Arabidopsis thaliana: one gene and its partner. The protein of the gene in region 2 interacts with the protein of the main gene of each other region in a pairwise test. Each region holds a gene or a part of one and is shown on either strand. Other genes may lie near its edges. The genes, in order: AT5G62440 and AT5G35680.

The links.
Region 1: the proteins of AT5G35680 (region 2) and AT5G62440 interact in a two-hybrid assay, tested with the Arabidopsis thaliana proteins (one study listed by BioGRID).

Annotation. Positions count from the first base shown.
Region 1 is NC_003076.8:25,071,601-25,075,900, forward strand, and holds AT5G62440 (EMB514 (DUF3223)), read right to left. Parts: upstream 2,470-4,300; 5' UTR 2,318-2,469; coding exon 2,021-2,317; intron 1,332-2,020; coding exon 1,020-1,331; 3' UTR 517-1,019; downstream 1-516. Other genes in the region: AT5G62460 (RING/FYVE/PHD zinc finger superfamily protein), read left to right, coding at 3,594-3,596, 3,909-4,247. UniProt on the Arabidopsis thaliana protein: May play a role in ribosome biogenesis and in determining the rate of cell division. Involved in a process essential for nuclear and nucleolar functions.
Region 2 is NC_003076.8:13,857,312-13,860,915, reverse strand, and holds AT5G35680 (Nucleic acid-binding, OB-fold-like protein), read left to right. Parts: upstream 1-1,902; 5' UTR 1,903-2,038; intron 2,039-2,292; exon of another isoform or gene 2,293-2,321; 5' UTR 2,322-2,326; coding exon 2,327-2,713; coding exon of another isoform or gene 2,714-2,764; exon of another isoform or gene 2,765-2,765; coding exon 2,766-2,831; 3' UTR 2,832-2,995; downstream 2,996-3,604. Other genes in the region: iqd33 (IQ-domain 33), read right to left, coding at 3,006-3,134, 3,220-3,576.

The DNA of each region.
Region 1 (4,300 bases), about 11 Mb from region 2:
TAGAAAATCAATTATAAAAAAAAAAACAAAAAAAAAACTTCACAACCATATAACATCCATTGACGAATTTCATTAAGTGAACGGTTGTACGTTAAGATAAGAAGACTGCAGAAGAAGGTAATAGATATGAGGTGCTCTCTCATTGGCTATTACCAAAAAGGTCTCTGCCACATTTTATGATTTACCAAACTCTGCCTTTTTTCCATGTCAACTTCTACTGTAGGTCCCTTACTCACCTGCATCTTGGTCAGATCATAGATTTCACAAACTGATTGTGTTGCAGTAAGATCGTAGTTAAGAAGCTTCCTAAATCTAAGAAGGCTTAACAAAACAAAATTTGTTGCATCTTCAAAAGACAATTTGTGTATGTGTCTATTTGTATATTGTGTAAGAAGACAATTTGGAATATTAATCCGAATACCGAATATCGGATAATGTTTCTTTATAATTCATAATGTGTTTCAAAATAATCCATTATTCCAAGACGTGTGCCAACCAGTGTTATCACTTCATGTAATCATTTTTTAGCAGGGTTAAGATTTAAGACAGCTTTAGTTTGAGGGCATTGTCTTTCTCTTAGAAGGGTCGTAAACGGTGAACATGTCACACACAGTAAGTTACCAAAGTCAAAATGTCGGTTTTTCATAACTTCCCCAATTCTTTTTATTTAACATTATCATTTAGCAACCAGATCAACACTACACTATCAATGGAAAGTGTTTTTTTTTCATCTAGATTTTGATTTGAGTTTTTCGTTTTTGAATTATTGGTTTTTAAAAACTAGATCAACCAGATTTTTAGTTCTATTGACGCGTCTGTGTTTTTTTCTGATGTTGTCAAGATAGTAGGGACAATATTCTTCTTCTTCAGCAATAATGGGTTATATAAACTGACAATTTTTCTCCAACAAAAAGCAGTTGCATTAGACAAGATCATAACTTTTAAAGTTTTTGGCAAAAGAACTAAATCTGAAATTTTCAAAATTTTCTTTTGAAATAAGGCATCAAGTGTCAGCATATTCATCTTCTGAATCTCCCTCCTCTACCACCACCACGACCGCCTCTTCTTCCACCACCGCCACCGCGACCTCCACCATGTCCATTGCCGTTAGCTCCAGGAGTCTTCATGTTTTCAGGCAATGGGAGGATTTGATCAACACACTTCCTGAAGCTGAAATCGTCTGCAGTATCGTCTTCCCTAACCAGAAAGAAGCATCTGCTTTTCCACATTGGGTGGGTTCTTACTTGGAAGGTTTTGATTCCTCCTCCAATCTTCTTTTCAGGCTCAGAATGGCCCTTCTTAATCAGATCTAGCAGCACCATGTGCTCATACTGAAATGTACAATCCAGAACAAAGTTCAGTACAACGAGTTAGTTAGTTGGAAGCTCAAAAGAAACTGCAACAACTGTAATATATTACATGACTATGCAATGTTTTATCTTTTATTTGTGCCCTCAAAATTTGACATTAACTTCATTCTTCTAACCATTATATGACATCAAGACCCAAAAAAACTTTCTAATTCACACACAATCCACAATCATATAATCAGTAAGAACACGATACATTTGAACTTTTCAACTAGTAAAAAAGCTGCAAAGGAGTCCAATTTACAAGCTATCTCCACTTCACTAATCCTCTCCCTAAACATAATACAATATCCACAATCATCTCCCTAAACATAATACAATATCCACAATCATTGTAAACAACCACTAATTTGAGACAAAAACAAAATTCTAACACCAAACACTGAATCCAAAATCAAATCATATGACCAATACAAAGGCGAACCCAATTCTCAATTTCTTTTAGTTTAAATACAAAGCACGATCATCATCAGATTCATTGATAAAACATCTTCCTAAACACATCACAGAACTTAATAATCACAATCAGAGCTCTTAGATTAACCTATATAAGTCTCGAGCAAAGGAATGAATATTTCCAAAAAATTTGAAACTTTACAATAAACAAAGCCAAAAGACAAAGACGAAGAGTAAACCCAAATATGTATTACCTTATTAACATCGAGATCAGTTGGCCAAAAGTGTAAAAACTTGACAAAGTAATCGAACATCGCCACAGAGGTAACAAACTCCTTGGGACCAAGTTTAACCGGACCTGACTTCTCTTCCTCTCCAACCTTCTGCTTCTTCGATTCACCTCCGTTCTCTTCTTCCTCTGTCTCCTCTCTCTCACGTTTCTCATCGCCGGTCTCGGCTTTCGGGGTCGCGGTTTCGACTTCCATGTCCACTTTCTGGTCTGGGTTCACTTCCGCTGACAGGGAATCGACGATCTCTTGTTCTTCAGCCATTGTTAAGCTAGTAAAGCTTCCGCCTTTTTTTCACCTTTCTACGATTTCTAGGGTTTAAGCTTGAGGGTGTGTGACCTACAGAAATCGTCTAAGCGGTATATTTATATGACTTTGGTTTCCGATTGAACCGAACTGGTTCGGTCTATTTGATTTTTTGGCTCGACGGCATACACTACATGAAAACCAGGATTTTCAATGTAGTAACTAATTTGTCGTCATTGATCTGTCCAATTATTATTTTTACGTCTCTTAAATCTTTTCATTTTAAAGTCTACATTTTTCTAATATATTTTTTTATTAATCATCTCAAGATATTTTTTTAGTCTACAAATTACTTTTACTGTTGTAGAAAATTTGGATAATAGTCAGTAATTCTAAATAATAGAATAAAAACTCAAATCTTAATATAATAGTTTAACAAATAAATCATATTATACTTTTTTTGGATAAAAAATGTTGATATAATTTACAATGTTATTAAAAATAATTTTTGGGATACCTAAACGTTTTAGATGTTCAGTCTGTCGGGATATCTTGGAGACTTAACTTATTGATCAATCACAATTTTTGCCAAAGAGGAAAATGTCAAAGTCAAACGAACATCTTTTGAAATTATTTACATCTCGTGGAATTAATGGAACTTCTTAAATTTTTCAAAAATTTGACATAATTGGAATATATTTTTTTTGCTTCTAGTCAATCTTACCATATTATCTATCAACAGTCAAACACCTCAATCTTAAATTTTCTAAAAATAATGGAATTATTTTATCGTATTTTGGTAAAGAGTTATTTTTGTAATATTATCTAAAATCTAAAAAGAACCAAGATAGATAGGTACAAAAAAAAAAAAAACTTTTTTTTGTGAAAATCTGATTATCATAACGTTACCGTGTCAAATCGTCAACCTCCATAACTCCGGTTTTGTGTATTTAATTATATATTTATCTGTTTACACGCGCTTCGAAATTTTGATTTACTTATCTGAATATTTTTCCAGACCGAACATCAAACAAGAAAACACATTTGTCCGAATTTCATCTTGAGAGCTGTTTGTGCCCTTCAAGAAATCGAAAGAGAGCTTCTTTCCCCCATTTTCTGCGATTCACGATATTTCTTCTTCTATAGGTAATCATAATTTGATCATCTTCTCTTTTATCTCTTTTTTTCTTTCATTTTCTTCTTGGGTTATGGTTGGTTGATTCTGCTATTTGGGAATTTTGATTTCTGTGACTTTTGGGGTTTCAATTTCATTCCTGAATTGTGATGGAATCGAATGGTATCTCTCTTTTGTTTTCATGGTTGAGATGTGATTCTGAAATTTGGGGATTTTCCGATTAGGTTTATGTCTTGAAAATTTGGGGAAATTTGGAGACAAAGACATATTTTAAACTCAGATCCTAATCTCTTCCACCAAGACATTTTCCCTGAATTGTTCCGCTTTAATGAAATGAAATCGATTGTCTGAGCTCAATTATGATGTTTCGATTCAAAGAAATGGAGATTTTTGTGTTGATGATGGAACATTTATCATTATAAGAGTTATGAGATTTTTATTTTGAATCTTTGGATCTTTCTTGGTTTTTAACAGGACAACGTTTTTTTACACATTGAGGCTAAAAGAGAGATGGCTGATGATCAGAGTTCAAGTACTGACCGTCTCGTGAAACCTGAAAGTTTAAACTCAGATAGAGGATCCAATCAATCTATTGAATCTTCTGGAGAGAGTTCTAGAGCTCAGGGTTCCACAAGCCTGTCTACTACTAAATCTATGGATGGTAAGAAAACCGAGGAAGAAGAGACAACGGAACAACGCGATGTTGATGATGAAGAGGAACCGCTCATCCAATCGGTTGAATGTCGTATATGCCAAGAGGAGGATTCCGTTAAGAACCTCGAGTCCCCTTGTTCTTGTAGTGGCAGTTTGAAGGTGATAATTTTATCAATGAATCTCATTGTTTTATTTGTTTTTGTTGGTATCTT
Region 2 (3,604 bases):
CTCTGTTCCATTCAGCTTTGGTCACCGCATATCTAGGTTCGTCGACATTGCTCATGACTTGTGAATTTATTCTTTAGCTTCGATATGATAATTGAAGAGTAGAACGGTATATTTTTAAAGAAAAAATGCCGATTTTCGTAAGTACATACGAAAGTACATATGACTACATTTATAATCACAACAAAATAGTAATATATGACCTTTCAAGTAATATATTCTACTTATCCATCTTTTTCTCAAATAAAGATTACGAATGACCTCCGGTTCAAAATGGTCTAAAGCTCAACAATCACTTTGTAATTTAGAACCAAAAGAATAAGCTCATAATTTCTAAATCAAAAGCCATACTCCTCGACTCCTCAATTAAATAGATATCTAATTCACTAGCATTATTAGCAACTTGAAGGAATCTTAAAAAGCAAATTCATTTTACCATCAAAATCGATTTCTCTAGTAATCGCAATGAATAATTAAACCATGAGAATTAAACTGTAGAATATTGGAAAATAAAAACTAATCAATCAATTTTGACGAATGAATTTTTTTTTCCAAAGACAAGGTTGGATGTCGCAAGCCTCTTTCGTATAGGGTTCTTTTCTTGGTTGCCCTTTTCAATAGAATATAACTAATTTCTAGATTTTATATATTACAGATTATGATTATTCAATATGCAAACATATAAATAGGTGAGAAAGATATAATGGAAGATGTCTTGGTTTGTTATTATGCAATATATGTGGTCAAATTGATATTGGAAAGTAATGAAGATAAGCTCAAAATGAATATAAAGATAGAGAAAGTAGAAACATGATTATGTGAAATCGATCAATGTTTTTGAGCATCAATTCCCCATTTCAGTCAAGACAAAACAAAAGATAGTCGGATTAATAAATCCATGATTTTACAAGTTCTCATACTATAATTAAATCCTTTAGAGATAAAAAAATATATCTACATGCATGTATTATTTGGCAGTAGAAAGAGAGATTATGTTCTGATCAAAATCTCTTGTACAATATATGTGATGAAAGGAAAAACTTTATAGAAGATGTGATAATTGTAACTACAACATTTCATCTATTTATTTAATTTATGTCTTCGTGCACAAATATTTAAATGTGTATTGTAAAAACAAAATCTAAGGCAAGACAATCTATTTTAATAAATTTGACAATATTAAAATGATGTAATAGTAACGTAGGATAAAGTAATTTTATGTTTATATTTATTTGTATTGATGAAAAAGAAAATAAAGGAAATGAAATGTGTCTCTTAAATTATAGTTTTAAAATAATAATGATATAGATAATTAAGTATATTAAAACTAAATAATGGTATTAAGATAAAACGAGAGAAATCACATGTCACAAAGAGATGTCATATGTTCACAAAGACACAAACTTTCTAATTAAAAAAAAAAAAACTCAAAGTCTTATTAAGAAAAGAGAGCTGCTAATTTATGTAGAAATCTTTCTCCTTTCCATACTAAAGTCCAAGCTTTACTCTGGGCAATGAAGTGTATGGTTGATGCAAACAACCAATAAGTAGTTTTTTTAACAGACTGTTCAGATTTGGTGAAGATAGTATATTTCCCAACTAAATGATCAGCATTTTCAACATATTTAAAGGAGTTTCAGAGCGACAAGGAAGAGTTCACTTCTTTTTCTTTATCTTTAATTTTTCGTAATGTAAATGTCAAGGCGGATAATAAGTTTGTGCTGAATCGTTTCATATCACTTATATAAACAAGTTTCGTCAAGATTGGCTCGTTTGAACCGTAAATAATATATGTTGACAAAAAAATAAAATAAAAAATGGCATGACTCCGTAATAAAACCTAATTTCGAGGGTGTTTTACAAATAGCTACACTATTTAAATAAAAAGACGTCTCTTGCGACATCGATAAAAAAAAGTAGAACAAGCAACACAACGCAGCTAAGAAACCTCCTTAAAGAACAAAGAAAAAACTTGGTGAAATCGATTCTCTTCAAAGATCGTCTTCCTAATCACTTTCAACAACTCGATCAATCCTTACTGGTAATCTCTTCCTTCCCTTTGTTTCTCAATTAGGGTTTCCTTTACACCGCCTTAATTTTTCAATTCAAACTCCAAATTAGGGTTTCCACTGAATTGAAATTACCCAATTATGTTTCGATCTAATTGTTTCTCGTTACCGGAATTGTTTTGATCTGAATTTTGATTCTCGAATTTGCCATTTTTTGTCTGAAATTGAAAAAAAAAACGAATCAATTCTTCAACCTTTTGTAACCTTTACGCCATTATATGATCAGATTCTGATTCTGTATCGAATTTGATACAGAGACGATGCCGAAGAACAAAGGAAAGGGAGGAAAGAACAGGAAGAGAGGAAAGAACGAAGCTGATGACGAAAAGCGAGAGCTTATATTCAAAGAAGATGGACAAGAATACGCACAAGTTCTTCGTATGCTCGGTAACGGTCGATGCGACGTTATGTGCATTGACGGTGTTAAGCGTCTTTGCCATATCCGTGGTAAGATGCATAAGAAGGTTTGGATTGCTGCTGGTGACATCATACTTGTTGGTCTAAGAGATTACCAGGATGATAAAGCTGATGTTATACTCAAGTATATGTCTGATGAGGCTAGGCTTCTTAAGGCGTATGGTGAGCTTCCGGAGAATACTCGTCTTAACGAAGGTATTGTTGGTGATCTTGATGATGATGATGATGTTGTTGGTGAAGATTACATTGAGTTTGAGGATGAGGATATTGATAGGATCTAAGTTTGTTTTTGTTGTTGGCTCTCTGTTCCAGCTTGTATTATCAAATTTGAGATACATATCTTCTTAGATACAGAAGATTGTGATACTATCATTGTTATGTATTTCTGGGGTTTCCAGTTTCTTATCCCTTACTATTACTGGTTTGATTTGAATCCCTAAATAATTTACAGAAAGTTGTTATCTGATTCGAAAGAACAAACTTTTGTGATTTAAATGCAAAGATTTACAGGTAATGCTTATCTTAGGTGCTGCTATTTAGCTTATGTGAGGTTTCTTCGCATTCGTTTCCTGTTTTGCAGCTTGTGGGTGTGGTTTTGGCCTTCTTTGCTTTCTTTGTTTGTTGTTGCAGATCACTTTTGGTGGCCTGAAGCTGCAAACGTAAAACGAGACAGGTAAGTATGTTTGAGATAGATGGGACTCAGAAACTTCTATGCATTGTGGGGTTTTTTCTTTACCTTGTGATGCTTTCTCTGGCTTTTGTAGCTTGGAACAGATTTACGCTTAGATATACTTGGTTTAAAACTACTTTTTTCGGTCTGCAAAACTGTAGTTGCATCTCCTTGTGTCTCTGATATGCTTTCAAAATGGAGAGGTAGGTCGTTGGAAGCACAGCTCTCCAACTCGCCAGCTGTACCAAAAGCTCTATTCTTTCTTATCAAGCTTTGATTTTTCGTTGCAACATCTGTTCTTGGTTCAATTGGAATGCTGTCTGGTACACGGGTTGCCATCCAGCGTTCTAACCAACTCCAACCGATATTGGAATCATCTTCACTGCTACGATCTATTTGTTTCTTCTTTGAGCAAATTCTTAGCTTTAAACAAATGTTTCACTAGTTTAGA